Canis lupus familiaris: one gene and its partners. The protein of the gene in region 1 interacts with the protein of each later gene in a pairwise test. Links are inferred from orthologs where the notes say so. Each region holds a gene or a part of one and is shown in the gene's direction. Other genes may lie near its edges. The genes, in order: GRB7, KCTD6 and LAX1.

Region 1 (10,481 bases):
ATGATATATGGTCTTTTGCTTCTGGCTTTTTTCATTCAGAATAAAGCTTTTGAGGTTCGTCCATGCTGTAGCATGTTCTGGTAGTTTGCTCCTTTTTGTTGCTGAGCAGTATCCCATTGTATAGATATACCACATTTTGTTAATCTAGTCAATACTAGTTGATGGTCATTTGTTTACAGTTTTTAGCTATTTTGTTTTTTTTTTTTTTTTTTTAATTTTTTTTTTTATTTATTTATGATAGGCATGCAGTGAGAGAGAGAGGCAGAGACACAGGCAGAGGGAGAAGCAGGCTCCATGCACCGAGAGCCCGACGCGGGATTCGATCCCGGGTCTCCAGGATCGCGCCCTGGGCCAAAGGCAAGCGCCAAACCGCTGCGCCACCCAGGGATCCCAGTTTTTAGCTATTTTGAATAAGGCTGCTATGAATGTTCATGTGTCTTTGTATGTACCTGTGTTGTAATTTCTCTAGGAGTAGAATTGCTAGGTTGCATGGTAAGTTTATGTTTAACTTTTTGAGAACTGACCAAACTGTTACTCCAAAATGCCCGTACCATTTTACATTCCCATCAGCAGTATATGAGGATTTGTTTACCCATATCCTTATCAACATTTACTGTCTGTCTCTGATTATAGCTATCTGGTGGGTGTGAGGTGGTATATCATCACCATAGTTTTAATTTGCATTTCTCTAATGACTACTGATGTTGAGCACCTTTTCATATGCTTATTAGCCATCCATCTCTCTTGTTTAGAAAAACATCTATTCAAATCTTTTGCCTTTTTTAAAAGGAGATTTTATTTATTCATTTGACAGAAAGCTAGAGAACACAAGCAGGGGGAGCAACAGAGGGAGAGGGAAAAGCAGGTTCCCCGCTGAGCACGGAAGCTGGAACACCTACGGGCTTGATCCCAGGTCTCTGGGAACATGACCTGAGTCGAGGGCAGAGGCTTAACCAAATGAACCACCCAGGCACCCCTCTTTGCCCATTTTTATTTTATTTTATTATTTTATTTTTTTCTTCGCCCATTTTTAAAAAAAGATTTATATATTTATTTGGGAGAGTGTGGGCACGTGTGAGAGTGTGAACAGGGGGAGGGGCTAAGGATGAGGGAAAGAATCTCAAGCAGACTCCCCACGGAGCACAGAGCCCACCTGGGACTCCATCTCACGACCTTTGTACGTCCCCGGATCATGACCTGAACTGAAGCTAAGAGTCAGCCTCAGCCGCTCAACTGACTGAGCCTCCCAGGCTCCCCATTTTTGCCCATTCTTAATTGGTTTGTTTCTTTATTACTGATTTGTAAGAGTTCTTTATATATTCTGGATACAAAGTCCCTAAGCAGATATATGATTTCCAAATGTTTCCTCCCCATCTTTACCAAGTTTTTTTTTTTTTCTTTTTTTAAGATTTTATTTATCTATTCATGAGAGACACAGAGAGAGAGAGGCAGAGACACAGACAGAGGGAGAAGCGGGCTCCCTGCAGGGAGCCCGATGTGGGACTGGATCCCAGGACTCCAGGATCAAGCCCTGGGCCAAAGGCAGATGCTCAACCGCTGAGCTACCCAGGGATCCCCTTTAATAAGTTAGTGATGTCTTTTGAAAGTGCAAAAAATTTTAATTTTGATGACATCTAATTTGCTGAATTTTTTTCTTTTGTCACTTGTGCTTTTGCTGTTGTATCCAAGATCTCTGCCTAACTTAGGTCACAAAGATTTTTTTCCCCTTGGTTTCTTCAGAAGTTTTACTTTAGCCTTTACATTTAAGTCTATGATTTATCTTGAGTTAATCTTTGTAGATTGTGTGAGATAAGGATCTAAATTCATCTTCTGGAATGTGGATAGTTGATTGTCTCAGAACCATTTATTGAAAAGACTAATCTTTCTGCCACTGAATTGTCTTGGTATCTCTGTCAAAAATCAATTGACCAGAAATGTCAGGGTTTATATTTGGACTTTTGAATCTATTCCATTGATCTATAAACCTATTTGTTGTTGTTGTTGTTGTTTTCTTTAAAAATTTCAGATATAACATACAGACAATAGAATTGGCCCTCTTGGGATCCCTGGGTGGCGCAGCGGTTTAGCGCCTGCCTTTGGCCCAGGGCGTGATCCTGGAGACCCGGGATCGAATCCCATGTCGGGCTCCCGGTGCATGGAGCCTGCTTCTCCCTCTGCCTGTGTCTCTGCCTCTCTCTCTCACTGTGTGCCTATCATAAATAAATTAAAAAAAAAAAAAATGAATTGGCCCTCTTCAGTGTACCCTTCTGTGAGTCCTACTTAACACACTGTTGTATATCTACCACCATGACAAAGATACAGAACAGCTCTACTACCGTCTCACAAGTCCCTGTGCCCTTTGCTGTTAATTCCTATACTCCTCCCTGCCCCTAGATCTGTTTTTTTTTTTTAATATTTTATTTATTTGAAAGAGAGAGAGAGAGAGAATGAGCAGGGGTGAGGGCCAGAGGGAGAGGGAGAAGCAGGCTCCCCACTGAACAGGGAGCCCCATGCAGGGCTAGATCCCAGGACCCTGGGATCATGACCTGAGCCCAAGGCAGATACTTAATGAACTGAGCCACACAGGTGCTCCTGCTTTCTGTCTTTATAGTTCCACTCCCTTCATTAAAAAAAAAAAAAAAAAAAGAAAGAAGAAAGAAAGAAAGAAAGAAAGAAAGAAAGAAAGAAAGAAAGAAAGAAAAAGAAAAAATATTTTATTTATTTGAGAGAGAGCAGAGAATACAAGCAGGGAGTGGAGGTGGGAGAGGGGCAAAGGGAGAGGAAGAAACAGACTCCTCACTCAGGGGGGTAGTTCCACCCCTTTTAGAAAGCCATATAAATAGAATCCTATAGCACTCAGCCTTCTGAATCTGGCTTCCCTCTCTAACCCTATCCTTTAACATCTAGAGCGATCTTTTCAAAATAGAAATCTGCCTGCTTCTCTGCGCCTCTACTTAAGCCCAGAGAGACACCACAGGGTCTGGCCTCAGCCCATAGTTCCTGCCTGTCTGGACAGACAGGATGGATGGCTCTCAAACCTGGTTTAACCACCTGAGGGCTTGTCAATACCACACATTCCTGTGTCTGGGCCCCAGAGACTTGAGATTCAGTAGGTGGGGAGGGGCCCAGGGATCTGTTTTTTCTACAAGCCTAAGGAGATATGGCAGCAGGTGGTCATAGGCCACACTCAGAAACATGGCTGAGTTCGAAGCACTTGCCTTTCTCCACACCTGCTTGAGTTTGCCAGTGTGGCCTCCTCTCCTTCCTCAACCCCACTCTGCCTCCCTCATGCCATGTCCCCTCCCGCTAAGGGCTTTGGCACTTGTTTCCTCATCATGAAAGGTACCCTCCTCCCCACATTCCCACCCACCCATCTTTACTTTCTCCCTATTCCAGTTTCTCCTCTGCTTGCTCCTCACTTCTACCAAGAAAGCTTTCCCACCTCTCTGGGTGAGTCATTCTCCCAGATACTTGTCACCTGTCATTTCTTATTTTTGTGTGATTTTTTTTTTTTTTTTTCTTTTGAGAGAGAGGAAGGGCAGAAGGGGAGAGAGAATGGGAGAATCTGAAGCAGGCTCCACCACCCAGCAGGGAGCCCAACACGGGGCTTGATCTCACAACCCTGAGATCATGACCTGAGCCAAAATCAAGAGTCCATCACTTAGCTGAGTGAGTCTCCCAGGTGCTCCTCATGGGATTCTTTGATTAACATCAGTCTCCCCAACAGGGCTGCATGAGGATAATGGCAGGGTCGGTTTTTCCTGCTCTTCACTATTTCTCTAGTACCAAGCATGGGGCTGGCATATAGTAGGTACTTAACAAATATTATCGAATGAAAGAAGGAATAATTGAGTGTATTGTCTCCTGTGCTTTGTAGAAGCTGCTCCTTGGCCCAAGTGACCTCACCCCCTTCCCACTTTTTTTTTTAAGATTTTATTTATTTATTTATTTATTTATTTATTTATTTATTTATTTATTTATTTATTTATTTTTTATGATAGTCACACAGAGAGAGAGAGAGAGAGAGGCAGAGACATAGGCAGAGGGAGAAGCAGGCTCCATGCACCGGGAGCCCGACGTGGGATTCGATCCCTGGTCTCCAGGATCGCGCCCTGGGCCAAAGGCAGGCGCCAAACCGCTGCGCCACCCAGGGATCCCCTTTATTTATTTATTATGAGACACATACACACACAGAGGCAGAGACACAGGCAGAGGGAGAAGCAGACTCCATGCAGGGAGCCCAATGTGGGACTCGATCCAGGGACTCCAGGATCACTCCCTGAGCCGAAGGCAGGCACTGAACCGCTGAGCCACCCAGCTGTCCCCCCTCTCCCACTTCTTTGCTTGGTCCACTCATACTGTTTTTTCGAGGAAAACCCCATTTGGAGAAAGTGGAGGCTAAAGCCACTCCCAGACCTCTTATCACCCTGAAGACTGTTTGTTTACCCACCTGTCACCCACTTCAGGTTGGGAGGTGGCCACTGCCTTGGATCTCTGGCCTTCCAGGCTTGACCCTTGGGTTTGCCTAATGTTGAAGCAGAGAGCTAAAGTGATCGCTCAAAGGGGAGTCTTCTGGCACCTGGCCAGATCTTTCCCCAGATCACTCCTCTCACCATAAGACTCTGCCGAACCCCTTCGATTTCAGATGAAGCTGAGACCCCTGGACTTTGCAAAGATCAGCAATCATACTCTGGGTGCCTCTGAGGGCCAGGGTGCAAGCTGGGTGGTAGCACTGTGGCTGGCAGTCAAGGGGCAGACCCTGTTGCTGGACACCCTTCTGGCTGGCTTCCCTCTTTTGCTGAGTGTTCCTTGCCCCATCAGGTGGGATCTAGAGTCGCAAGCAGCCCCCCTCGTGTGGCCTACGAGCAGACCCCATTTGGTGAGGAGCATGAGGAAGGGTGAGCGCCTTATCCCCTCACCTTCCAGCTCCCAGTCCCTCCCTCCCACGTCACGAGGGCTCTAGATCTTTGCTCTTGAGGCTTCTCAGCTCCGCTGTCTTCCCTGCCTCTCCCCTGGCACCTGCTACCGGGCTGAGAAGGGCAAAAACAATCCCAGCCAGCGTCGAGTGTCAGGGAGTCCCCGCCCCTCCTCCTAGGGTTCCTCCTCCCTAGCTTCTCCCCCAGGCCCCGCCCCCACCTGCCCAAGATAATTTTAGTCTCCTTGGGCCAGGAGCCTGGACACACAGGGCTCTCCCTCCCCCAACCCTCACTTCTACTCCAAAGTCGGGACACCCTCCTAGCACCTGTAGAGAAGAGGGAGTGGATTTGAAATCAAGCCCAGGTATCTGGGGTCCCTAGACAGAACCAGACTTCGGACCCCGTGTCCTGCTACTCCTCCTGGGGCTCCTCCAGGTAAGGTGACCAAGATCGGTCCCAGCCGACAGCCTGCCCCCACCCCCAGCCGCAACAGGGCCCCAGGCTGTGCCCGTGTCAGGGCCAGGGGCTGGCAGGTCGCCCAGGTGGGCGGACGGGCGGCCGCCTGGCTCCCCCTCCTGTCCCCCCCCCCCCCCAGTGATGTCAGGCCAAGGGCGGGCGCAGGAGGGGGACAGGTAGTTAAGGGCCTGGCGTCTCCCTCCCTAAACCAGTGGCCCCAGCCAAGTGTTCCTACGTCCAGGGTCCAGGTAAGGACCCAAGAGGGGCACTTCATCTTGAGGGTGGGGGGCAGCGGCAGGTCCCGGAGTCACTATGGAAAGATCCCGCCTCCTGCTGTGTTACTCTGGCCGCCTCGCTTCCTTTCTCCAGTCTCCCACATCCCGCCCCTACCTCACCATCTGCCTGTCTCTCCCTGTTTTCATTCCCTGTTCTCATTTCCTCCCCTTTGCCGGCCTCCCTCTGGCCCCCGGACAAAAAGCAGCTGATGGGGATGGGGAGGGAAGATCCGATCCTCTCCTCCGGGAGACGCCGCTTTCCCGCTGAAATTAGCCCCTCCCCACCTGCCCGGGAGGAGAGCGAGGAGCGGGGGCCGGAGCCCGAGGGCTGCCCCGAGTCATTCCTTGCTCAGCCTCCTGTTACCCGTTTCCCAAGGCTCCCAAGACTGCCGTCTCCGCGGGGGTGGGAGGGTGGGGGTAGGGGGCGCCCCCAGTGAGGAGGGCAGCAGAGGAGAGGCATCCATCCTCTAAACTGCTAGAGCTCGGCCTCGGGATTGTTTGCCGGCTCAAAGCACCGGGTCCCGCCCTAGGAAGGGAAGGTGGGGGCGGGGCAGGCCCGGGGGTCCCTCCTGGCGTCGGGATGAGGCTCGGAGGCTCGGAGGCTGGGGGGCCGCAGCGCCGGGGGGCCTAGGAAGGTGTGTGTGCGCGTGTGGGGGCGGGGGGCAGTGTTTGGAGAAAGCCCCGAGTCTCGGTCTCCCCGACACCCGAAGGGGATGGAGAATGCACCTGTCCGCCCTTGGCGGGCCTCCCCCCCCCCCGCCAAGAATGGCCCCTCTGGGTGGGCGCGTCCTGGACTCTGCTCCCCCTCTCCCGCCCCCGGTCCTGCTGGGGAGCCCTCCGTGAAGGCAAGCGCCTGTAATGATTAACTCCGCAGACACAATCTAGCATTCTTCCCAAATTAAACTTTAAGAAAGCTCACCCCCCCTCCTTTTCCCATTGGGTGTTTTTTCCCCCCAGAGTGAGGGAGTGGGCGGGGCCTCGGTCCTGGGCCCTCCCTCGGCTCCGGGTCACCTGGGGGTTTCCCGCCTCCTCGCTTGGGCCCTCCGGCACCCTCAGAACCCCGAAGGCTGAGCCCTCCCTCCCCATATACATCCCGCCGGGGGCGGGGCGTGGAGTGCTGGGCCACGCGGGGGCTTCCCGCCACCTGCTGGTCCCCAGCCCAGGCCTCGGCCGCGCTGGCCCCTCCCCCTCCTGGTGGCCTTGTTTTCTCTGGGCCCTAATACTGGGCCCTGCCACCCGCCCTTGGGGCCCGCCAGGTGGGGCAGGATTCAGGAAGTAAACAAGGAGACTGCAGGCTGGGAGGGCGGGCCGGAGGGTGGGGCCGCAGCCGCGGGGCAGGAGAGGCCGTTGGGGAAGCCTCTGTTTGGAGTTGTAGTGGGGGGGGCTGATAGATTTGGGGGGTCGGTTTCTTCAGCAGAAGCCGCTGGGCCTAGGGCCGCAGTTTGAATGGTTCAGGTCTCTTGGGAGGGGGTTCCCGACCCCGACAGCTAGGATCTGGTTCTCTTCCCATCCCATCTATTTGGTGCTGACCGCCCCATTCTCTTGCCTTAGAAGGGTCTGGAGGGCAAGGTGGAGGGATCAGGAGGCCAAACCCAAGTCTTCAGTGGCCCTCCAGCTCTCTAAGGCCAGACTCCCATCCAATGCTGATTTAAATCTACTCCGGTCACCCTGCCCAAACACTGCCCCGATTCCTCTTCCTTCTGGGATGGAGTGGGACCCTACTTTGGTCTCTGGCTTCCCTGCAGCCTCCCCCCACCAACCCCCTGTCTTCCTGGAGTGAAGTCATCAGGACTAGTTGCCAGAGGAGAGATGGGATGGGAGTGGGGACATTGTGGCTTGTCGATATTCTGGTGTCTGTTGACGCTCACTGGTGGATGTGTCTTGCCCTTCCCCAAAGGACCCTGAGCGCCCTCCCTGCCACTCCCTCCTGGCCTTTCCTTGTCTGCCTGTCTGTGTCTGTCCTCTCAGGTGTCTTGCTCCTCCTGTACCTGTAGTACCCCTCTGGCCAGGACACCGCAGAGTGTGTTAGGACCCTCATCCCCCAGGGTTGATATAGATGAGTCTTCTGGGCCCCCTGAGTCCTGGGTGCCAGGGGTGGGGCAACGCAGCAGCAGAATGAAAACCTGGTAGGCCCCAGACGGGATAGGGAGCACTGCGCGGTTTCTTTGGGTGAGTGAGGGCATCACTGGGAGGTCGGCTCTAATCCAGATGGGCCTTTGAATCCTAGCCAGGCCTTTTTCTCTCCTTGGGAGAGGGGGCTCCTGGGCTGGGTGGAGACTGAGGGACCCCAGGGCAGGTTGCAGGTCCCACCCAGACTGGAGGCGGGCCAAGGGTGGGGAGGAGAAGATGATGTCAGAGGAGCTGCGGGCCCCACATCTCCACCCCCCCCCCCACCTGTCCCTGCCCTGAGCCTCCCCCATTCCTCCCAGGCTGTCAAGGTTGGGGGCGGGAGGGGCCGGAGGTGGGTTGAGGCAGGGCTGTTTGTGTTTCTCCTAAGCCAGGAAGTCGTGCAGATGAGTCAAGGTTGAATAGAGAGCCCCAGGCAGTGCTGTCCCGCCCCACCCTGACTCACCTGTCCCCCAGATCCCCTCACTTAAGGGTCAGGGGCCTGCTCCATTGCCAGGTGCTGCAGGCTGCCTCAAGGCACTGGCCTAGGTCTCAGGTTCTCCCAGGTCCTCCCAGGTTCTAGCCCTGCCAGAGGGGTCTGTGCTGCCTCTGTCCCCAGTGGGCATCTTTGCCTCTGCTCTCCTGTCCTCACTTGCCCTCCTCTGCAGCACCTGTGGGTGCTAGGACGTGGGTGAGACTCTGGCCCTGCCCGGGAGTGCTGGGTGGCTCCAGACCAGTGGGTGGACAAAACAGGTGCGCTTCATTGGCACAGAGGCCAGTGCAGAGAGGGAGCCCTTCAGTCTGAAGGCGGAAAATCCAGGAAGGCTGCTCAGAGGAGGTGACTTTGGCATTGGGGCTTCAGGAAAGTTGGGCAGGAGGAGGAGTCTGGAGAGGGCACGCAAGGTTTAGGGGCTGCTGGGGCAAGGGTCCCCAGGCTAGTCCTGTCTGAGTCTGCCTCCTGCCCTCCTGGTTCCTGTCCTTTTCCACCTCCTTCTCCCCTTCTGGCCATCACTCAGCACTTGGGCAGGCGTTGCCACAACAGGCTCTGGCAACTAGATCTGGCAACAAAGCACTGGAAAAACCCGGGGCAAAGCCCAGAGGAGTGAGTGTCCCATGCTCGGGGCAAGCTCAGAGACAGAGTCAGCCTCGACCGTATGTGGGTCATGGAGTCTGTTGCTGCTGCCCAGCTGGTGTGTGCGGGGGTACCCTCTTAGCTCTTCCCCTGAGCAATGTGGGGCCAACAGAAGAGCATTAGATTTGGAGTCAAAACAACAAAGTTCCATCAAAGTTCCACTCATTGACTCACCTGTGATGGGGGCAAGGATGCTTCCTTCTTAGGGACTTGATGTCCCCTTCTTGTAAATGGGCTCATGCTACCCTTCCCCAAAGGTTCCAGGGAAACTCCAGTTAGAGGGGGAGCAGTAAGGTGCCGTGTCAACTCGGAGGGGTACCTTTACAGCGGTGTGAAGTCTGGAGGTCTGGGTCCACTTGGCCCTTCTCTGCAGGACAAGGGCACACGAGCAGCTGCTTTCAGTCACCTCTTCTCCCTTAGATGTTATGGAGCTGGGTCTGTCTCCACCTCATCTCAGCAGCTCCCCAGAAGACCTGTACTTGGCTCCTGGGACCCCTCCTGGGACTCCCCCACCTCCCGATGCTCCTCTGCCTGGGGAAGTGAAGAGGTCCCAGCCTCTGCCCATTCCGACCAGCAGGTACAATGCGGTGATGGAGCTGAGAAGGGGCTGGTGGGGGGGGGGGGGCAGTCAGTGTTGGGTAAGTCAACAAATTCTCTCCCCATCCCCCACCTCGGGCCACAGGAATCTTCTTCGAGAGGAAGAGCTACGGTCAACCTCTCTGCCTTCCATCCCCAACCCCTTCCCTGAGCTCTGCAGTCCTCCTTCACAGACCCCCATTCTTGGGGGGTCCTCTGGTGCAAGGGGGCTGCTCCCTCGAGATGCCAGCTGCCCCCATGTGAGTTGTCTTGGGAGAGAGAAGGCAGGGATATGGGGGTGCTATGGGACTGAGGCGGGTAGGGTGCCCCCTCCCTGGAGGGGGGAGGGAAATTCAGTCAGGAGTCCCTGAGGATATAGCAGGCAGGGGAAGGGAAATAACCCCCCTTCACCCTTCCTCAAGTCACCTGCAATTCCTGGGGTGCAGGTAGTAAAGGTGTACAGTGAAGATGGGGCCTGCCGGTCTGTGGAGGTGGCGGCAGGTGCTACAGCCCGCTACGTGTGTGAAATGCTGGTGCAGAGAGCTCATGCCCTGAGTGATGAAAACTGGGGGCTGGTGGAGTGCCACCCCCATCTAGCACTAGGTGAGTTGGGGTGCCAGGGGCTGTCTCGGGCAGGGAGGCAATGCTTCACACTTTGGGCTAGGCAGGTAGCCCCCCTGGGAGGCCTGTCTGGTGTCCGCTGACCACTGCTTTCGGCCCTTGACTCCAGAGCGGGGCTTGGAGGACCATGAGTCCGTGGTGGAAGTGCAGGCTGCCTGGCCCATTGGGGGAGACAGCCGCTTTGTCTTCCGGAAGAACTTCGCTAAGTACGAACTGTTCAAGAGCTCTCCGGTGAGTGTGTGTGAAGGGCGTCTGGGCACTGGGACACCCGGGCCCCCAGCCTGGGCCCATCGTCCCTGATTCCTGACTCTTCCCCCCAGCACTCCCTGTTCCCAGAAAAGATGGTCTCCAGCTGTGTGGACGCACACACAGGCCTATCCCACGAAGACCTTATCCAGG
Region 2 (10,663 bases), on another chromosome or scaffold:
GTATTCTCAGTTTCCAGCTGATGCAGCTGAGATTCAGAGGACAGATCTTGCCCAAGTTTAACTAGCAAGTGGTAGGTCCTGGACATGAAAAGGTTAGACACTGATTTCTAAGATTCCCTGTGTCCCAACCTCTAGCTCCAAGGCTGGATCCCAGCTTGAGAAAGTAAGTACTATTCTAAAAATAGGTATTTGAAAAGCAAGAAGGTTCCCAGCTTTAAGCAAAAGTGAGTGACAAAGCAAGATTTTACACTTAGTTATTAACCTGTTACAGAATTCAAACTCCTATTTCTGGGTCTTAAATTTAAAAGGAAACTTTCTGATTCTTTAAGAAGTGAATGTCTACATACCTCACATTCAATACCCTCTTTGGATAACACTGTTGCAGCTTCTAAGCAGTGGCCCACAGGTCTTGAATGAGCAACTACAGTTATGTGTGTACCTGAAACAGAGTGGTCACAGGTCAGAGACCAGGTTGAAACTAAAGCTGTTGTACTGCTCCACAGCCATTGTGGCTCTTGTTCATTTATAAAATTCAACTCTGTTCCAGTGAGGTGAGGAATGTGATAGCCTTCCTAAAAATGAAATACAAATCTACTGGACTGAGAATCAGGAAAGCACAAAAGTTTATGAGGAAAGTGTAACACATTTCTTCATTTCTTTTTTCTCAAGATTTTATTTGAGAGGAGGAGAGAGCACATGTGTGCGAGAGCAGGAGCATGTGAGGAGCACAGGGAGAGAGAGAAAGAGAGAGAGGGAGATCATTTTCAGCACCCTCCATGCTGAGTGCAGAGCCTGACATGGGGCTTGATCCCAGGACCCTGAGATCATGACCTGAGCCAAACCAACAGCTGGACACTTAACTAACTGAGCCACCCAGGTGCCTCAACATGATGGATTTCTTTTCTTTTCTTTTCTTTTTTTTTAAAGATTTATTTATTTATTTATGATAGGCATAGAGAGAGAGAGAGAGAGAGGCAGAGACACAGGAGGAGGGAGAAGCAGGCTCCCTACCGGGAGCCCAACACGGGACTGGATCCCGGGACTCCAGGACCGCGCCCTGGGCCAAAGGCAGGCGCTAAACCACTGAGCCACCCAGGGATCCCCAACATGATGGATTTCTTAACTTGATAATTTCCTAACCAAAGTAAAGGGCAGGAACTTCAAGAATGAATCGTTCGACCAGGGTGCCTGGGTGGCTCACTTAAGTGTCTGACTTTTGATTTCAGCTCGGGTCATGAAGATTGTTAAGACTGAGCCTGGAAAAAAAAAAAAAAAAGACTGAGCCTGGGTTGGGCTCCCTGCTGGGCATGGAGGTTGCTTAAGATTCTCTCTCCCTCTGGCCCTCCCACACTTCTTGGAAAAAAAAAAAAAAAAAGAATTTGACAAACATAAATACAGGAGCTAGATTACAAATACTTTAGCATGTACTAAGTGCTCTTACCTTGCCTTTCTATTTTGGCTTTTCCAATGGGAATCAGAAAATCTTTTGACTGAGCTTCGGAGGGAAATTCAAAAGGAACTCCATACATCAGTTCGTTCTCTAGCACCACCACTACAAAATACAAATGTTTAACAGAACTAACTACATGACCAAATGTATATACATAACTATCATTCATTTTGTGCAAAGTTTCACTGTGCAGATTAGGAAGCCTCCTATCTATTGTGTCCAGTAGCCCTGAGAGGATGGTTTAGGTACTGGCATCTATAGTCTGGTCAGTCCTAATTTTATCTATTGTAGTTAAAATGGTGTTGTAGGTACCTAATAGGCCCCATATAGTCAGAAAAGCAAAAACAACACCTTTTTAATGGTCTTTGCTGTATCTGTAAATCATAACATTTTATATGTCTAAGCCTAACTAGAACCCTTAAACGGCTTCCTTCCAGGCAAAGATTTCAACTTAGTTCCTCAATGTTCAAAAGAGACCCAAGGCTCACTCTACTGACCTGGATTATTATCCCGAATGGCTGATTTAATAAGTCCTTTTGCATCCTCTGAATTCCAGGGGCTGACCACCTTTAAGCCTGGGCAGTGCCCATACCAGGCAGCAAAGCACTGTGAGTGTTGGGCAGCCACACCTGCTGAGGCACCATTGGGCCCCCTGAAGACTATAGGCACAGGCTGAAGGCCCCCCGACATGTAGTAGGTCTTGGCAGCTGAATTTATAACTTGGTCAATGGCTTGCATAGAGAAATTGAAGGTCATAAATTCACAGATGGGCCTCAACCCAGCCTGTCAAATAAAAAACAGAGATCTTAGAAAAACTAAAAAGCAATAAAAAGTGGCAACCACTCCAAACTTCAATGTTTTTAAAAGGTCATGTTAAAAGAAATCTCTTTAGGATTAAAGGGGAAAGGAGAGAAAATGAGTGGGAAGTATCAGAGAGGGTGACAGAACATGAGAGACTCCTAACTCTGGGAAACCAGCAAGGGGTGGTGGAAGGGGAGGTGGGCAGGTGGGTGGGGGGATGGGGTGACTGGGTGATGGGCACTGAGGGGGGCACTTGACGGGATGAGCACTGGGTGTTATACTATATGTTGGCAAATCAAACTCCAATAAAAAATACAAAAAAAATTTTTTTAATTATTAAAAAAAAATCTCTTTAGATGAGATTCATAAAGAGGATTACACACCATAGCTGCACCCACAGCAATTCCAGCAAAGCCCATCTAGAAGTAAAACACAAACACAAGTGAAAATCCATAAAAATCAGAACAGTGTACACTTTAACATGCCCCTGAAAAGTCTGCGTCCTGATGGAAGGCTCACCTCAGATATGGGAGTATCTATGATTCTCTTATCGCCATATTTCTTCCACAGGCCTCGACTAACCTAAAATTACACAATGATCTCATTACTTTTAAGTGTATATGGGGGCAAACAGCCACCTCAATTTATATCGCTTTCACATATCTTGGGTTACCTTATATGCACCATCATACTGGGCAACTTCTTCCCCAAGGAGAAATACCTTCTCATCTCTTTCCAGCTCTTCATCCATACCTTGGTTTATAGCCTCACGAACTGTCACCTGTCACAGGTATGGGGAAAACAGCCAATAAGCTACAGGATTATTTCAGATACTACTGAGATTCTCTCCTTTTATAATTACTAGGCTGCCTACAGCATACGGTATGAAAACTATCGCTAGGACAGGCTTCTCTTTAAAAGTTCAAAGAATCCCCCCCTCAAATAAATAAATAAAATCTTTAAAAAAATGAAAATAAAAGGTGAGGGGAGGGCACCTGGGTGGCTCAGTTGGTTAAGCATCTGCATTCAGCTCAGGACATGATCCCGGGATCCTGGGATTGAGCCCTGCAGTGGGCTCTCTGCTCAGCAGGGTCAGCAGGGAATCGGCTTCTCCCTTTCCCTCTATCTCTGCCCCCTGCTTGTGCCCCTTCTCTCTCTCTCTCAAATAAATCTCTAAAAAAAAAAAAAAAAGTTCAAAGAATTCTAAAAGTAACATTTTCATACACAGTCTTTGGCTGAATTTGTTAATGAAAATACTGAATGCTTTTCTTAATGTGCACCTAAACTTAACAAAAGCTGTTTGCTGGCCAGACCAGCTCAAGTTTCCTGAGTAAAAATTCTATTCAGTTGTTTTATTTCCACAGTCAGTGTAGTATGGGACAGAAAACTGTTAAGAAAGCCTAAATAAAACTATGTTTTGAGCACTCACTAGGTACTGGGAACTTCCAAACACTACCTTCAGAATCTACAAGTTATTTTACTAGACAGATTGAGAGTCCTCTAGTTAAAAAAAAGAAAAAAGAAAAAAAGGAGGGGGTACGGGGTAGGAAATTCCTCAAGTTGAACACAGAACTACTATATGATCCAACAATTCCACTTCTAGAGATGATCAAAAGAAATAAAAGCAGGGACTCAGATACTTGCACACCAGTGTTCTTAGCAGCATTATTCACAAATCCCAAAGGTGAAAACACCCACATGTCCATCAACAGACAGAATGGAGGAACAAGATGTGATATATGCATAAGATGGAATATTATTCAACCTTAAACAAAGAAATGAAATTCTGACACATGCTACAACATGAATGAACCTTGAAAACATATGTTAAGTGAAATAAACCGGATATAAAAGGACAAACACTGCAGGATTCCATTTCCAGGACACACCTAGAATAGATAAATTCAAAGGCACAGAAAGTGCCAAAGAGGTTACCGGGAGCAAGAGGGAAATGGGACGTTCGTGTTTAAGGGGTGGAGAGTTTCTGTGTGTGATGGTGATAAAGTTCTGAAGACCGATGGTGGTCATGGTCTCACAACATAGTAAACGGAAGTACTGCCGCTGAATATACACTTTAAAATGGTAAATCTGGTTATGTATATTCTACTTGAAAAATGTAAATGGGGCGGTTGAGGGAGGAAGCGCGAGGTCTAGTTTCCTCAGATCGCCCACAGATTCCAGTGAGCCTGGCCGGGGCGACTTGCTGGTGTGTCCGGCGCTGGGTCGCAACAGAGGCACTCGGAGTCCCACGCAGGATGTGGGAACCCGTGGACCTCAGGGCCCGTGCCGTCCCTGTCCCCACGGCGCAGGCGCGTCCCTCCCGGGATTCGGGCTAGCGCCCAGGCCACCTACCTGCAGCGCCGCCGGCGCCGTCCGGTGGAAGCGCCTCCTCAGCAACCCCGACACCTGGCGAAAAGAGAGAGAGAGGACGCTGAGAGGGGGCGCAAGGCGGGCAGAGACCACGCGGAGGCACGCATGCCGCTGCCTACCTGTTCCAGGGGTCTCCGCATCAGGCCAGACACCGCCGCCATCTTGACCGTGTCCTCCAGCCGCCGCCGAATGACAACACCGCAGGACCGCAGTCGCCTCAGGCTCCGCCTCCCGCGCCAGCTCAGGCCAATGGCAGCGCGCGGCGCCTGCGTGCCCCGCCCATCCGCTGCCGGGTGAGGGGCCGAGGGGCGGGGCCTAGGTGGCGCGTGGGGCGGTACTACCGCTGTTTCTGGGGCCGGGGCCAATCAACTTCCCGGGAGCGGGCGGCTGCTGCGGTGCGCGCTGCGCGGCGGGACGCGTCTGTAAGCGGTGCTGCCTGAGGCGCGGTGCCCGGAAGGCAGGTTCTGAGGAACGTTAGGTTGAGGCTGCGGGGACCTTCAGAGTTGGGTCAGCCTTTTGCGGGCACTGAAACCCGTAGGGCGCCAAGTGTCGCCTGCGCACGCTCTGAACGAGCCCGGTGGTCCCCGGGCCGGACCGTGCTGTCCGTCTGTTGCTCCCTGGAATGCGAACCGGAGTGTTCATCGAGGCATGAAGCGCCTACTGTGTGCCGGGCATCGTAGTAAGTGCTGTCCAGCTCCTGTAATTCTCACAGGAACCCTCCCGCGTGATGACTGTTACCTCCACTTTTCCTCAAGTCACTTCGGGTTGTCAGTCGTCAGAAAGTCCTTCATCCAGAATTTTCAATCTTTTTTTTTGTTTTTTGGTTGGTCATTTCAAGCGAAATGTGTTAAAGAGAGCTTTTCGCTTCCTCGACCACAGTAAAATGCACATTCCCCCACCACCTCAGAAAGTTCCCTCAACGTTTCCTCCCGATCGTTCCCCACACATCACCCCACAGGCAACCACAGATCTGATCGCCATCACCGTAACTTAATTTGCCTGTTTTAGAACTTGACGTAAAGGGAATTCTATCATTCTTGCGTCTCGCTCAGCAACATGTTTTTGTGATTCATCCATGTCGTTAAGTGTATCAATACTTTATTCCTTTTCTTTTTTTTTTTTTTTTCTTTTATATTCTTTATGCCCAACCTGGGGCTTAAACTCATGACCCTGGGATCAAGAGTCCCATGCTCTTCTGAGCCAGCCAGGCACCCCTCCTTTCTTTCTTTAAGTTTTCTTTTCTTTTCTTTTCTTTTGAAAGAGTTTAAGTGTCACAAGAAATTGTGAAACTGGTGCAAAGAGCATCCATGTGACCTTCAACTATCTTTGCCCAATATCTTGGATGACCATAGTACATTGTCAAATCCCCCAAATTGATAACGGTGCAATGCTCTTAACTCGGGTAGAGACTTTATACAGCATTCATCAGTTTTTTTTTTTAAATTTATTTATGATAGTCACAGAGAGAGAGAGAGAGAGGGGCAGAGACACAGGCAGAGGGAGAAGCAGGCTCCATGCAGGGAGCCCGACGTGGGACTCGATCCCGGGTCTCCAGGATCACGCCCTGGGCCAAAGGCAGGCGCCAAACCGCTGCGCCACCCAGGGATCCCCCATTCATCAGTTTTTATATGCATTCTGGCAGGGGTAGGAGGAGTGTAGTATTATAGAATTGTATTAGACGTACAGATTCACATAACTACTACCACAGCCAGAATACAGAATTGTTCCATCCCCACAAAGCACCTCCCTCCTGTTACCTCATTGTTACCTCCTCCACCCCTAACTCCTGGCAACCACTAATCTGTTCTCAATCACTATAATTTGTTATTTCAAGAATATTTCAACACAGAATCGTACAATATGTAACTCTTGGAGATTAGCTATTTCCACTCAGCCTAATGCTCTTGAAATCCATTCCAGTTGTTGCGTGTATCAACGTTTCTTTATATCTCTAAGTGGTTGCATGTTTATCCATTCACTCCTTGAAGGACATTTGGTTTGTATCCAGTTTTAGCTATTACCAATAAACCTGCAATGAACACTGGCTTTTTAAACATTAGTTTTCATTTCTTCAGGTAAATACCGAGCAGTATGATTATATTGGAGTGTTTTTCCACGGTGGCTATACTATTTTTTTTTTTTAAGATTTTATTTGTTCATGAGAGACACAGAGAGGCAGAGACACAGGCAGAGGGAGAAGCAGGCTCCACGCAGGGAGCCCGACATGGGACTGATCCCGGGTCTCCAGGATCACACCCTGGGCCGAAGGCGGCGCTAAACCACTGAGCCACCCAGGCTGCCCCAGAGTGGCTATACCATTTTACATGACCTCCAGCAAAGTATGAGACATCCAGTTGCACTAAATGCTTGCCAGTGTGTGATATTATCAATATTTTCTATTTTAGCCATTGTAATACATGTGTAGCAGTGTCCCTCATGACTTTAATTTACATTTCTCTAATGGTTAATTATTAAACATCTTTTCATATGCTTTTCTGCCATCCATCCTTGATGAAGTGTCTGTTCTTTTGTTCGTATTCTAATTAGATTGGTTTTTATTGTGGTAAAATATATATCACATAAAATTTACCACTTTAAGCATATAGTTCATTGGCATTTAATATGTGCATATTGTTGTTCAATCACCACCACTATCCATTTCCAGAACTTTCTCTCTTTTCTTTTTACTTTTAAATAATCTCTACACCCAGTGTGGGGCATGAATTTAGGATAAGGATCAGGCATGATCCTGAGATCGTAAGTTGCACGCTCTACAGGTGGCTCTACAGCTAGGTACCCCTCCTGAACCTTTTCATTTTCCCAAAAGGAAACTATTCATTAAACAGTAACTCTCCATTTCCGCCTTCCGCTAAGCCCTGGCAATGACCATTCCATCTGTATAAATTGGACTGCTCTACCTCATGTAAGTGAAATCATACAGTATTTGTGTGTGTGAGTGAGTGTGACTAGCTTGTTTCAGTTATTGTAATGTCTTGGAGGATCATCCATATTGTAGCATGTATCAGAATTTCATTCCTGGGCAGCCCCGGTGGCTCAGCGGTTTAATGCTACCTTCAGCCCAGGGTGTGATCCTGGAGACCCGGGTATTGAGTCCCATATCAGGCTCCCTGCGTGGAGCCTGCTTCTCCCTCTGCCTGTGTCTCTGCCTCTCTCTCTCTCTCTCTCTCTCTCTCTCTCTCTGTGTCTCTCATGAATAAATAAATACAATCTTAAAAAAAAAAAAAGAATTTCATTCCTTTCTAAGGTTAAGTAATAGTCCATTGTATGCATATATCCCATTTTGTTTATCCATTTTTCTGTTGATGGACCTCTTGGTTGTTTTCAATGTTTAGATTTGTGAATAATGCTGCTATGAACATTAGTTCACAAATACCTATTTGAGCCCCTACTTTTAATTCTTTGGGGTATAACCTAGAAGTGGCATTGCTGGATCATGTTAATTCTGGATTAATTTTTTTGAGGAATAACCATTCTCTTTTCCATTGCAGATATACCAGTTTATATTCCCGCCAGTAATGCACAAGGTTTCCACTTTCTCCACATTCTCACCAACATTTACTATTTTCTGCTTAATTGCTAATAGCCATCCTAATATGTGTAAAGTGGTATCTCATCTTTGTTTTTATTTGCATTTCCCTAATGATTAGTGATATTGATCATCTTTTCATGTGCTTTTTGGCCATCTGTATGTTTGGAGAAATGACTGTTCAAGTCTTGCCTATTTCTCAACTGAGTTCTTGTTTTGTTGTTGAATTAACAGGAGTTCTATGTATATCCTGAATATTAATCCCTTATCAAATATATATGTTATGCAAATATTTTCTCCCATTCCTTGGGTTTCCTTTTCACTCTAATAATAGTGTTCTTTGTTACACAAAAGTTTATAATTTTGATAACATCCAGTTTATTTTTTCTCTTTTTTAATTTATTTTTATTTTTATTTATTTTAATTTTTTCTCTTATTGCTTATGCTTTTGGTATATCTGTCAAAGATTCAAAATAGCCCAAGTAAAACCAATGAATCACTGAGGTAGTAATTAGTAAAAACTTATTGTGCACAGACCAAAAAGACAGTTTGTAGGCTAGGAACATTCAAACCAAAGTATGAAGTGAGGTTCAGGAGTATATTGCTAATAGAGCAGTTTATATAGTGAGAAAGCAGTGAGTTTATTCTTCATGGTGATTGGTTATGATATCACATTTTCAGTGATTACTTCATATTAACCTTGGGAAACACTTCAAGTTTTGCTTATCATTTATAGGGGTACAAGTAAGAAATTACCCAGATCAAGTTAGCCTTGCAAGCTAATTTGCTTAAGCTAAATTAAGCTGTGTTTGTATGCTTAAACTGATTTTGTCGGTTCATGGAATTTTCAAGGTTGGTCTCCGTTTGTTTCTGATTTAACATAATTAAGAAATCATTGCTAGGGATGCCTGGGTGGCTCAGCAGTTTGGCGCCTGCCTTCAGCCCAGGGCGTGATCCTGGAGACCTGGGATGGAGTTTTCCTTCAGGCTCCCTTCATGGAGCCTGCTTTTCCCTCTGCCTGTGTCTCTGCCTCTCTCTCTGTCTCTCATGAATAAATAAATAAATAAATCTTTTAAAAAAAATCAGGGATCCCTGGGTGGCGCAGCGGTTTGGCACCTGCCTTTGGCTCAGGGCGCGATCCTGGAGACCCGGGATCGAATCCCATGTCGGGCTCCCGGTGCATGGAGCCTGCTTCTCCTCTGCCTGTGTCTCTGCCTCTCTTTCTCTCTGTGTGACTATCATAAATTAAAAAAAAAAAAAAATCATTGCTAAATTCAATATCATGAAGCATTTCTCCTATATTTTCTTCTAAGAGTTTAATATTAGTAACTCTTATGTTTAGGTCTTTGATCCATTTTGAGTTAATTTTTATAGATGGTGTAAAGTAGGGGTCCAATTTCATTCTTTTGCATGTGGTTATCCAGTTCTTCAAATACCATTTATTGAAAACATTGTCCTTTCCTTGTTGACTGTCATGGCACCTTTGTTGAAAATCATCTGACCCATATATGGGAGAGATTATTTTTGAGTTTTCTAGTCTGTTTCTTAGTCTCTATGTCTCTTTTTATGCCAGTACCACACTGTTTTATCTTTTTTTTTTTTAATTTTTTTTATTTATTTATGATAGTCACAGAGAGAGAGAGAGAGAGGCAGAGACACAGGCAGAGGGAGAAGCAGGCTCCATGCACCGGGAGCCTGATGTGGGATTCGATCCTGGGTCTCCAGGATCGCGCCCTGGGCCAAAGGCAGGCGCCAAACCGCTGCGCCACCCAGGGATCCCCTATCTTAAGACTTTATTTATTTATTATTTATTTGAGAGAGAAAGAGAGAGGGCAGGGGAGGAGCAGAGGGAGAGAGACAGCCAGACTTTCTGCTGAGCAGGCAGCCTGATGCAAGGCTTGATCCCAGGACCCTGAGATCATGACTCCACCCAAAACTAAAAGTCAGACACCTAACTGACTGAGCTACCCAAGCACCCCAGTACCACACTGTTTTGATTAGTATAGTGTGGTAATAAGTTTTGAAATCAGAAGCTGAGTCCTCCAGCTTTTTAATTCTTTTTCAAGATTATTTTGGCCCCTTGTGGTTCCTTGAGTTTCCATGTGAATTTTAGGATAGGTTTTACTATTTCTGCAAACGCTGTCATTGGGATTTTGATAGGGACTGCATTGGATCTGTAGATTGCTTCAGGTGGTATTGACATTAGCAATATTCAGCCGTCTAGTCTATAAACAGAGGATGTCTTTCATTTACTTGTATCTTCTTTAATTTCCTTTAGCAATGCCTTGTAGTTTTCAGTGTTTAGGTCTTTAGCCTCCTTGGTTAAGTTAATTCCTAATTATTCTATTCTTTTTAATAGTATTATAAGTGGAATGGCTTTCTCAATCTCCTTCTCAGATTGTCCATTGTTGGTGTATAGACATACAAATGACTTTTGAGTGATTTCATATCATGCAAATTTGCTGAATTTGTTTATTCTAATAGGTGTGTGTATG
Region 3 (10,460 bases), on another chromosome or scaffold:
CACTTGCCAGCCAAGTTTTTTAATGCCCTGGTCAATGAAGTTATTGAAATGACATTCTACTCATTTGTGCAAGGGAACAAAGAAAATCCTCTTGACCCGCCCTCCATGTTCCAGCCCTTGCACTCCTATGGCACATTGGCTATCTGGTCCCCAGGCAGGCCCTCTGCCTTCCAGGCCTCCTCTGAGATGTGCTGTGCCTACATCTGATCCCTAATGCCGCTGCATCCCTTCACCCAACCCTGCTGCCCCTGCCCTCTCTTGCCCTCCCTGCTGCTGCTGAGGAGTTGCCTCCTTCCCGCCCAGAGACCCAGGGTCAGAACCTCTGCTTGTGTGGGCTGGCTGAGGGGGGCCTGTGCTCACAGCCCTGGGGCCGAGGCGGCATTGGGGCTGTCAGCAAACAGTTGCTCATCTGAACACACCTCACAGCTAGCTCTGCTCCACAGCTCTGCAGCTGCTGGGACTCCAGAGGGGGCTGCCAAACACAGAAAACTCTAGAAAGACCAAAGAGGCAGAGGTCTGCCCTGCTCTCAGGATACCAGACTTAAGGAAAGGGCTCTCTTGCCTGTCGGCCATGCCAATCCACCTCATCCACAAAGGCCTGGCCTAAGTGGGTAAAAACTGTCCTCTAGTCACACTGCTTGCTTCCAAATTCTCCTCTCACTCCTCAAGGGCCTTGGGCAGAGTGGGAGCAGGGAGCAGAGCAATATTTCCATATTTTCTAAATCTTTTTGTCCTAATCCTGCTCTCTTTCAACTTGAACTTAAAAGGAAAATATTTGCAGCCTTTGTTCTCAATTTCAGACTTGCCTGGACTGGAGGCGGCCTCCAGCATAGGAGCAAGTGAATAAGGAATGTGGAGGATTGCCACCGTTCAGGCTCCAGCTGTCACCCTGCTGTGGTTTGCCTCAGCCCCTAAGCCTTCGAGAACAAAGCCTGGCTGGAGTTGTCTTTCACACAGGACAACTTTGGCATTTTTCTGGCCCAGAAACATGAAAGCCATCATTAACCCCTCCTTGGGGCAAAGGAGACCCAACACAGGAGCCAGGTTGCCCTTCCTTCGAGGGATAACAAGGGCTTGCTTTTCCCTTTCCTTCGCTGCTGAGCACGCAACAGGAGAAAATACTAGACACCCATTTCTTTCTCAACAGCTCACCCTGTTATACACTTAGGCCATGAATTCACAGCCACAATAAGCACCTAAGAGAACTTCTCAGAGGCCCCGTTTGATTCTGATGGTCAGGCACTGTGTCAGAGATGCAATAAATAAAACAAAGTCCCTGCCCTGAAGGGGTTCAAAGTCTACTTGAGGAGACAGTCACTTAAACAACTAATCCCAGCAATCGAGAGCTATCATGCCTGCTGCCATGGCGACCCAGAAGAGCCAAACCCAGTTCCAGGAGAGGAAGTCTTCACGGAGGTGGTGACTCTTATGACATATATTTCAATAACCAATTTATTTTTTTATAAAAATGACACTTTATCCTTATAATAATTCAAGCATTAAGAGTCCAATGAAGAAAGTAACAAAATACCTCAAGCCCCACAACCCGGAAATAACCAGTATAAACTCTTCAAATGGATCTTATTGGAATTTTATGAGGGGGAGAGAGAGAGAGAAAGAAACTGCTGTCACAATGAATGAATCAGTGCAAAGGCCCAGAGCATGGAAGTGACAAGAGTGGGGCGTGCATGGAGTACAGAGTGCCTGCTAGGGGTGCCAGCTGAGGCTCACCGCTGCATGTGGGTCAGACCGCATGTACAAAGCCGGTGTGCCCAGTGCCATGTGGTGGGAGACTTTCCATAAATCTGCACTCAAGGAATAGAGGAACACATGGTAGAAAGGTAGGCTGAGCATCAAGAGAGGAAGAGACGAAGACCAAAGGAGGCGATCCATTAAGTATAAAGAAATGAGCCTAATATATAATAAGATGATCACAGAATAGCACCCCCCATTTAATGAGATTGCACATGCCAAGTCCTCAGCAAAGCATTTTTCATTGTCAGCGCAATTTTCATAATTGCATTACCTATGTTGTAGTATTGCTATTTTACATCCAAGGAAACACCCAAAAAGATTATAGATGACCTGTCCAAGCAGTCATTTAGGATCTGATCTTGTATCGATGCTCTTAACACAGTGCTTCTGTCTTTCCAGAAGATTCTGGAAGGTTTTTAGTAATACTAAAAACCACACCACTGAGTTAGTACAGAGTCAATCCCTTCCATTCAAAGGGTTTTGCTTGGATGCATAAGTGTCCGTTTGAAACCAATCTTAGGGGTGCCTGGGTGGCTCAGTGGTTGAGCATCTGCCTTTGGCTCAGGACATGATCCCAAGGTCCTGGGATTGAGTCCAACATCGGGTTCCCTGTGAGGAGCCTGCTTCTCCCTCTGCCTGTGTGTCTCTGTGTCTTTCATGAATAAATAAATAAAATATTTTTTTAAAATAACCTTAATACTTAAAATAATAATAATAATAATCTTAATACTTTTTTTTTAAGTGGAACCCAATGCTGGGCTTGAACTCGTGACCCTGAGGTCAAGACCTGAGCTGATATCGAGGGTCAGATGTGCAACCGACTGAGCCTCCCAGGCACCCCTAATCTTAATACTTTGGGATCACATGTCACATTCAACCCTGAAATCATTAAAAGTGGTTAAAGGGAAATACCAGAGCCATCAGGCTTAAAACATGTGCCCTATTTCCCCGGAAGGAGCAGTTTTCTTCCATTACTACGATGAATAATTTCACACACCGATTTAGTGTTTGTGGGTCTGATTGGCAGTTGCACAAGCAGGAGGGAAAGGAGAGCAGGTGGCAGGGTGCAGGCAGGTCTGGAAACCTGGAGCTCGCTCTGTGGAACCCCCTTTCAGAAGACTGTTGCCCTCAAGTGTGGGGAGGCCGCCGGTGGGGGAGACAGTCAGGAAACCAGAGGAAAGATTAGTCTGACTCAGACACTCTGGATAAGATAAGAAAAAAACAAGGTCTTCAGATGATCACACAGGAGAATGTCTTTAAAAAGAAAAAATTATTTTTTTTTTTTAAGTAGCAGCCAGGGTCGTGAGGTTTGGTTCTATCGGCCCTTCTCTTGTACCCTCTCCTACCGCCTTCCAAGTTCCCAGCTCCCACGCCATCCTCTGCGGCCACCCGCCGCGCGCAGCTCAGGACAGGCCTGGGGAATCCCGCTCGCTCTTCCAGTCCTGGCCGCAGGGCCTGGAGCGACAGGTCTTTTTCTCCTGAGGAGCCCTAGTTCTACTCAGACCCTTTCCCAAGGACAAGCGGGCAAAGCCCCAGGGTCCAGCTCTTGAACCAGCTGTCCCTGAACCACCTGTGCTCCTGCCAGGTAAGGCCAGGTGGGGGGATGGCAGCCAGAGCCCAGAGGGCAGAGCTCCTGGGAGAGCCACTCAGGCCACCTGCACCCTCTCCTCTGGGGTTCTGGGGGCACCTGGACGTGCAGACCAGGGTAGACAGCCACCCCCGTCCCCAGGAGCTGGGACCTTAGTGCCCACAGGGAAGAGATGGGAGGTGCGGAGGCACTGGCTGTCTTCCCTGCCATGGGGAGGGAGTCCATTTCCCTGTGGAAAGCCAGGTCAGAGGCCCCTCACATCCCCGTAAAAGTCCTAGTGGCCTGGTCCCTTCTCTTTGGACTCTCCCAAGGTGCTGAGACTTTTGGGAAGTTGATAAGGGAGAGAGGAGGGAGCCAGAAACAAATCTGAACAATTGTCTAAGTCTGAGAAAAGAGCAGGAATGAGATTTCTGGCCTCCGAGACAGGTGCACAACAAGGGGATGGACCTCCAGAAGAGTCCTGCAGAGAGCCGGCCGCCAGGGGCCACGGAGGGCAGGGCTCCGGGAAGGAATGGCCAACACTGACCTGGCCTTGGCTCCGTTCAGAGGGTAATCCCCAGAGATGCTCAAAATGGAAAACACAGACCAGCTTTGTCAAAATCACCCAGGAAGTGTCTATGAAAATAGCCCGTCCCAAAAACCCATAGGAACAATCATGGATCCCCCACCACCTTGCCCCATCTTTAGTCACTCTCCCCACAGACCACAGTGCCCCCCCACAGCCCCCCCCACACACCCAGCCGACCCAGGGAACAGGGGGTGCAGACATGTCTTCCTCTATCTTGCTATAGCTGAGCAGCATTTCCTGTGCCCCATGCCTCATTAGCACATCAGTGCTGTCGTTTCCTGTGACGACTCTCTGTTTCCATTCTGGCAAATGTTTGCTCTTTTCTCTCTGCTCTGGGGGTTGGGAGGGGATGAGCTTCTCACGGAGTCTCTCTCTCTCTCTCTCTCTCTCTCTCTCCTCTTGGCAGTTTCCCCCCTACACTCCTCACACTTCACCAGGAGGCTGAGCGCATAGCATCTCCCTGAGCCACCTCTCTTGGGGCGCATGGCACCAGGCTGAGTTCGTGCTTCCCACAGTGGACACTGTAGCCACATCCAGGTAGAACCAAACGTGTTGTTTTTGTGTTTGGGCTCAATGCAGCCTAACATTTCAGGGGTAGACGCCAGGTAGACGCAATGTTGGGGGAAAGAAAGCTCTAGAAAGATTGGAAAACATGGAGATGAGGAGGATTTCTAGTCTTCTTATCTACTTAAAAAAGTGGTTATGATGGTATGCAAAACGCAAGTCAATTTCGCCTTTTCTCCTGATGGATGGTCACTTAGGAAGAGCCAGGAGAAGTGGCATGTGTTAGCTGTGGATAACTGAGAGAAAGCTTAGAAGAAGAAGCTGAAGCCAGAGAGGTTTCTATGACCATGGATGGGATCACCCCGACCATTTCAGAAATCAGAGGGAGGATCTTGGAAGCCAGGACTCTGCAGGTAACTGCCGGCAGCCTGGACAGGTGAGTAACTCAGGGTGGTGAGCTCCACCCTCCCCTGATTTAGACAGACAGCCCTGGCCGACCCCGGGCACTTCTACCCCAGCAGTGCTCCTAGCCCTCACGACTGCCCTCAGGTCCCCTTAGACCACCAGATTCTAGGCTTAGAGAAGCTTGCCCAGGACTGCTGGGAGGGAAGGAATGGGTATCGGTGAGAAAAGGAAGTTGCAGGGAGAGGGTCCTTAGACCTTGCTGTCTGGCCTGGGTGGATTTCTTACCTCCCAGAGGTCCCAGTCACTGTCCTCAATCTTCCCTGTATCAGGTCCCAACAACCACTCTCCTCCTTCCCCCTCAAAAATTAGGAGCCACCATGATGGAAACAACAGGCCTGTTTTCTTTCAGTGATGTATTTTTAGGTCCTAAAAACTTTCCATGAATGGAAAATGCAATCATCGATGTATAAAGATATGTCTTTAGGATATAAAATCTCATAGAACTCAGCATGGCTATACATTTTATTGCTAAAACTTGCAGGATCATACTAACAAACATAAAAAGTCCAAGAGTGGTTGAAACTTTAACAACACTTGTAGGTATGAATCTCAGTGCTGTGATAACAGTGCAACTCAGCAATAATAAATTTCAAATCACTGTCGTTTAGGGAAATAAATGTATTATCATGACAAACACATATATGTCACCTGCAGGTGGAAGGAGCATGGATGGGGACTGAATTTATGAAGCTGTCAGAACCCTGAGGCCCCCCCAGATAACTACTTCTATGTTCATTCGTGTTTACTAAGTCACTCATCTATTCCACAAATATTCACCCTGCCCTTGCTAAGTGCCAGGCACTGTTCCAGGTACCAGGTAAATAGGATGGACAAGTCCATGGCTTCTTGGAGCTTACAGTCAAGTAGGAAAGTCAGATATAGACAAACAAATGGATATATAATAAAATGTCAATCTGTCTTAAGTGTATAAAGGAAAACCAGAACAGAGTTAAGGGGACTGGGAGTAATAGGCCTGTCTGAGCAGGTGATATTTCAGATGAGACTTGAGGGAAATGAGAGATGGAGCTACCTGCCCCCCCACCCCCACCCTGGGAGAGGACCTGGGGGTCTGAGGTGGCAGTGTGCTATGCACGGACAGGGACCAGCCAGAAGGAAAGTGGTAGGAAATGAGGTCAGAAGGTAGGCAGAGGGGCACCTGGGTGGCTCAGGAGGTTAAGTGTCCAACTCCTGATTTCGGCTCAGGTCATGATCTCAGGGCCATGGGATCTAGCCTTGCATCGGTTCTATGCTCAACTTGGAGCCTGCTTGGGATTCTCTCTCCCACTCCTTCTACCACTCCTCTCTCTCTCTCTCTCAAATAATAATTTAAAAATAATAATAATAATTTTTTTAAGATTTTATTTTTATTTATTCATGAGAGACACAGAGAGAGGCAGAGACACAGGCAGAGGGAGAAGCAGGCTCCCTGCAGGGAGCCCGTTATGGGACTCAATCCCAGGACCCCGGGATCATGACCTGAGCCCAAGGCAGATGCTCAACCGCTGAATCACCCAGGCATCCCTCAATTAATAAATATTTTTAAAAGAGAGAGAGAGAAGAAGAAGAAGAAGAAGAAGAAGAAGAAGAAGAAGAAGAAGAAGAAGAAGAAGAAGAAGAAGAAGAAGAAGAGGAGGAAGAAGAAGAAGGAGGAGGAAGAGGAGGAGGAGGGCAAAGGCTAGACCATAAGGGGCCATGAAGTCCTCACTGAGTAGGGATTGTGTATGTTATCCCAAGTGTGATCAAAGTCATGTGGGTCACAGGAAGAGAGGGGATGTGATCTGGTTTACTGTGAGGAGGATCATGCAGGCTCATGTGTGAAGCTAGTATGTGGGGCTCAAGAGGGAAGGCAAGGCAACGCACTAGGGAGGTTACTGCAAAGACCCATGTGGAAGCAAGGAGTGGCAATGGAGGAGTGGAGGTGATTGGGTTTGGGAAAGATGCCCAGAGCTGAGCAGATGGAATTTTCTGGTTGACTGAATAATTGAGGTGTGAAAGAAAAGGAGCAGTCAAGGATAGCTCCAACCACTAGCTGATGGGAGACACCAGAGGAGAAGCAGGCTTATGGGAGAGGAACAGGCATTCTGTTTCAGACATATTTGGTTTGAGATGTCCATTGGGCAGTTTAGCAGAAATGTCCAGGAGAATTGGGTAAACAAGCCTAGGACTAGCTGACCTGGCTTCTAACATTTGGGTCTGTTGGCCATTCCTGCTGTATCCTCCATTGGCTTCTTCTTGTTGCAGTAGGCAGAGCAGAGCAGCAACCCCGTGCTGTCAGGGAACCACAAGCAGCAGAAACTCACTCCTGCATTTGTGTGGGTCACATTCCACAAAACAGCAAGTATTGTTGGAGACCAGTTCTGCAAGTCTATACGTGGGGGTTGTTCAAATGTCCGCAAGCCGGACTCCGTCCCAGAGCAGCTCCCTCTTCCACACAAGACAGGACACCAAGGAGTAGGGAATGAGGAGGAAGCAGGGGCAGGTGAACCTGATTTTGCCAGTTTGGAGGACAGTGTGGTACACTGGAAAGAGCGCACAATCTTTGGGCCCCAACAGACCTAGACTCACGTTCCATCTTTGCTCCTTCCCACCTGTGTGATCTTTGATATATTACTCAGCCTCTCTGAGTCTAAATCTCAGGTTTCTGGCCACAAGGAGAGATGAGATGTTGTAGAGATTAACACACACCCAAACCCCTGGCATCCAGTAGGGCTTCCAAAGGGGTAATGCCCAGCTTCCTTCTGTCCACAATGAAGACACTCTCTTCAACCACACAGCCTACCCACCTCAGCTTTCCGGCCGGCTCCCATTCCAAGTCCTCGGGCTCCAATTCCTGCAGAAAACCTTTTCTCCAGCCTTCTCAGCCTCCTACAGCTGGAGAATGGCCCTTGTTTTTCCCCACAGAGAGAAAGACCAGAGCAGAGCCATATTTTCTGGGTTTGCAGGATTCCTTGCCGTCCTACTGACCACTCTGATCTTCTACAGCCTATGGAACTGGAATAAATGGAAGAAGCAGCGTGAGTCCTTTGATTGTCCCAAGTGGAGACACACGAGGATCCACCATCTAGCCTGGCATTCAAGGCCAAGTTTATTCTCCAGACATAAACTCTGTTCTCTTCTGTTCTTCCCTGACACACTGGCCATTGTCTCACTTTTGAGAGTCTAAGCCATGCCCCTGAAAGGCTCAGTGCCAATCAGAGTTCCACTTGGCAGGTCATTGCCCTGAGACATTTATGCCCACCCTTTGCCACCACCCCCTACTTGCCCACTTGCTTCTTCTCCCAGTCTTCTGGCTCAAATGGAATTGGGCAAGTGTGAAAATGTATTTTTTATGATACATAGTGAGGATGGGGAATATTTTCAGGGACTATCTCACACCTAAGGGTCCCTGCATTCGGTACCACTTGCCCCCACTGAGATCTCCATCTCTCTCCTTGTCTTGCAGGACACATTCCTTACTTCCGAGTTACCATCACGCCCTTACTTTCTCTGTCTCGACCCAGACAAGGAGCCAAAAATATTTATGACTCCTTACCCCAGAGGCAAGGAGAGCTGGGTAGGTTTTTCTTTCTAATCTGCAGAGCACAAATGTTACTGAACTTCATCCAGAATGCACCTCTCATACCCAGAAGCACCTTTTTTCTTTTTTTAAGATTTTATTTGTTTATTCATGAGAGACACAGAGCAAGAGAGAGAAAGGCAGAGGCACAGGCAGAGGGAGGAGCAGGCTCCATGCAGGGAGCCTGACGTGGGACTCGATCCTGGATCTCCAGGATCACGCCCTGGGCTGAAGGCTGCACTAAACTGCTCAGCTGCCCCAGAAGCAACTTCTTCTTTTTTTTTTTTTTTTCAGAAGCAACTTTCTTTACATTTTCAGACCTTTCTGCCCTTCAGGGAGCGTGGAGGAGGACGGGATAGTCAGAAGCAGGCTGTAACTCCATTAGGGGCCTACAGAGCTAAAAAAAAGGGAGCTGGGAGGTGTCTGGGTTGGGTTTTTTTTTTATTTGTCCTGATATGAAGTCCTGGATGGGTATGTCCAGGAATGGGGGACACATACAGAAGAAGAGCATGGCCTCTGGCATTACAGGAGCCTCCTCCCCAGCTGCTCTAAACTCTGTGCTAATTAGTGTCCTCTGGTCCTTGTTAAAAACAGAGGACAGTCCCAGGCCTCAGAGCACATCATTCTCCCTAGCTCTGCCCCTCTCACCACAGCACACCGGCCTCAAATACCGACACCACACAAACCCACATCAACCACGATGCGGGGACCATGGAGGTGGAAGCGCTCAGGGGACTGGCTGGCTATCTTCAGGATTTGTTCTCTGTCCTTTCAGGGAGACGGCAGTCAAGGAGTAACCATATTTTCAGTACCGAGAGCCTCCTTTCCAGAAATTATGATAGCCCTCCTTCTGATCCTGTGGTAAGAGTCAAGGGAAAGGACAAGCCCCTTGGGAGAGAGGACATTTCTCGGGCAGAACTGGGGTAAATAAGTTCAGGTCACAGATCTCCTTTCCTGGCAAACAACAAGTCCCCTGGCAGTTGCCCTGTGGCCCTATTGATAAATTGGGAAGACAAGCCTCAGGGACCTCCCTACTGCCCAGGGACAAAAATCATGAAAGGTAGGAACAGTTGTTCAGGATTTTAAGTGAGATACCAGGGCACATGTATTCAAAGATACGGTGTTAGAATGGAAATGTATTGTTTTAACAAAGGTAACAGCTCACTCAAATGAGTATTGTCCCTTCCAATGCTGTATCCTACCTCGAGAGAGGATACAAATATTCCAACAATGCTGTGGATGCTCGAAACATCCTTAAAACCCTGCTTTTGGGAATTACTTCTGGGGCCCATGGCAAATGGTTTCAATTATCCTCAATAGCAGGTATGTTTGTAAGTCATTGAGGACTGTAGCTGGTGTAGAAAGTGTTTGATCAAACGTGGGGTATTTTTGAGGTTACCATGGGAACACTACAATGAATAACAATGACCTAGTGTGTCCTGTGACCTGGCTCTAAAGGCAGCCCTCAAGGAGGAGCCCCACAACGCTGTGGGGCAGAGACACCCAAGACAGGAAAGGGGGGACCTGGAAGCTCAGGGGCCTCATCTCCAACAGATAAGCTCTCACTTGCTTGTTGAAGAACCGGTCCCTTGGCTCTGTGGTCATCTCAGATGAACACAGTCCTACCGCTGCTGCTGATCCTGCTGCTACCCAGCTTCTCACTACCCAGAGCTTTACGTTCAGTTAGCACTTGGACACCTCTAGTGCTCCTCCCACATATCCCATCCTTGGGCTCTGCTCTCACCTCTACAAACTCCTGGGGGACCAAGCTTGCATGGCTGATAATGTGCAGGGAGGACGAAACGTCACTGCCAAAGCGAGTTCTAGCACTCCATCCCAAACTGATATGAGGCCACAACACATGTTTGGCTACGGACTGTGTAGTAGATGAAGAACATTTGGAACCAGTTGCCAACATTTAAAAATCTAAAAGATTTCACATTAAAATCTGGATGTCCAGCTTTTCTTGAAAAGTCAGAAGCTCTAGAAACATCAGACTGGCATCCCTAAATGGTCACAATGGG

Evidence for each region.
Region 2: the proteins of GRB7 (region 1) and KCTD6 interact in binary tests that used the Homo sapiens proteins (3 or more experiments, as listed by UniProt). The two-hybrid records come from large-scale screens. The link is inferred for Canis lupus familiaris from reciprocal best matches to the Homo sapiens genes GRB7 and KCTD6.
Region 3: the proteins of GRB7 (region 1) and LAX1 interact in binary tests that used the Homo sapiens proteins (3 or more experiments, as listed by UniProt). The two-hybrid records come from large-scale screens. The link is inferred for Canis lupus familiaris from reciprocal best matches to the Homo sapiens genes GRB7 and LAX1.

Annotation. Positions count from the first base shown.
Region 1 is NC_049230.1:22,699,036-22,709,516, reverse strand, and holds the start of GRB7 (growth factor receptor-bound protein 7), read left to right. Parts: upstream 1-5,139; 5' UTR 5,140-5,351; intron 5,352-5,519; exon of another isoform or gene 5,520-5,620; intron 5,621-6,660; exon of another isoform or gene 6,661-6,922; intron 6,923-9,305; 5' UTR 9,306-9,310; coding exon 9,311-9,462; intron 9,463-9,567; coding exon 9,568-9,721; intron 9,722-9,907; coding exon 9,908-10,064; intron 10,065-10,191; coding exon 10,192-10,313; intron 10,314-10,402; coding exon 10,403-10,480; intron 10,481-10,481. UniProt on the Homo sapiens protein: Adapter protein that interacts with the cytoplasmic domain of numerous receptor kinases and modulates down-stream signaling. Promotes activation of down-stream protein kinases, including STAT3, AKT1, MAPK1 and/or MAPK3. Promotes activation of HRAS.
Region 2 is NC_049241.1:32,432,457-32,443,119, reverse strand, and holds the start of KCTD6 (BTB/POZ domain-containing protein KCTD6), read left to right. Parts: upstream 1-5,250; 5' UTR 5,251-5,300; intron 5,301-10,663. Other genes in the region: PDHB (pyruvate dehydrogenase E1 component subunit beta, mitochondrial), read right to left, coding at 348-439, 1,442-1,552, 1,948-2,233, 2,635-2,670, 2,771-2,833, 2,925-3,032, 4,604-4,657, 4,741-4,782. UniProt on the Homo sapiens protein: Probable substrate-specific adapter of a BCR (BTB-CUL3-RBX1) E3 ubiquitin-protein ligase complex mediating the ubiquitination and subsequent proteasomal degradation of target proteins.
Region 3 is NC_049259.1:1,022,096-1,032,555, forward strand, and holds the start of LAX1 (lymphocyte transmembrane adapter 1), read left to right. Parts: upstream 1-4,206; 5' UTR 4,207-4,448; intron 4,449-4,672; 5' UTR 4,673-4,756; coding exon 4,757-4,851; intron 4,852-7,781; coding exon 7,782-7,894; intron 7,895-8,322; coding exon 8,323-8,433; intron 8,434-9,211; coding exon 9,212-9,297; intron 9,298-10,460. UniProt on the Homo sapiens protein: Negatively regulates TCR (T-cell antigen receptor)-mediated signaling in T-cells and BCR (B-cell antigen receptor)-mediated signaling in B-cells.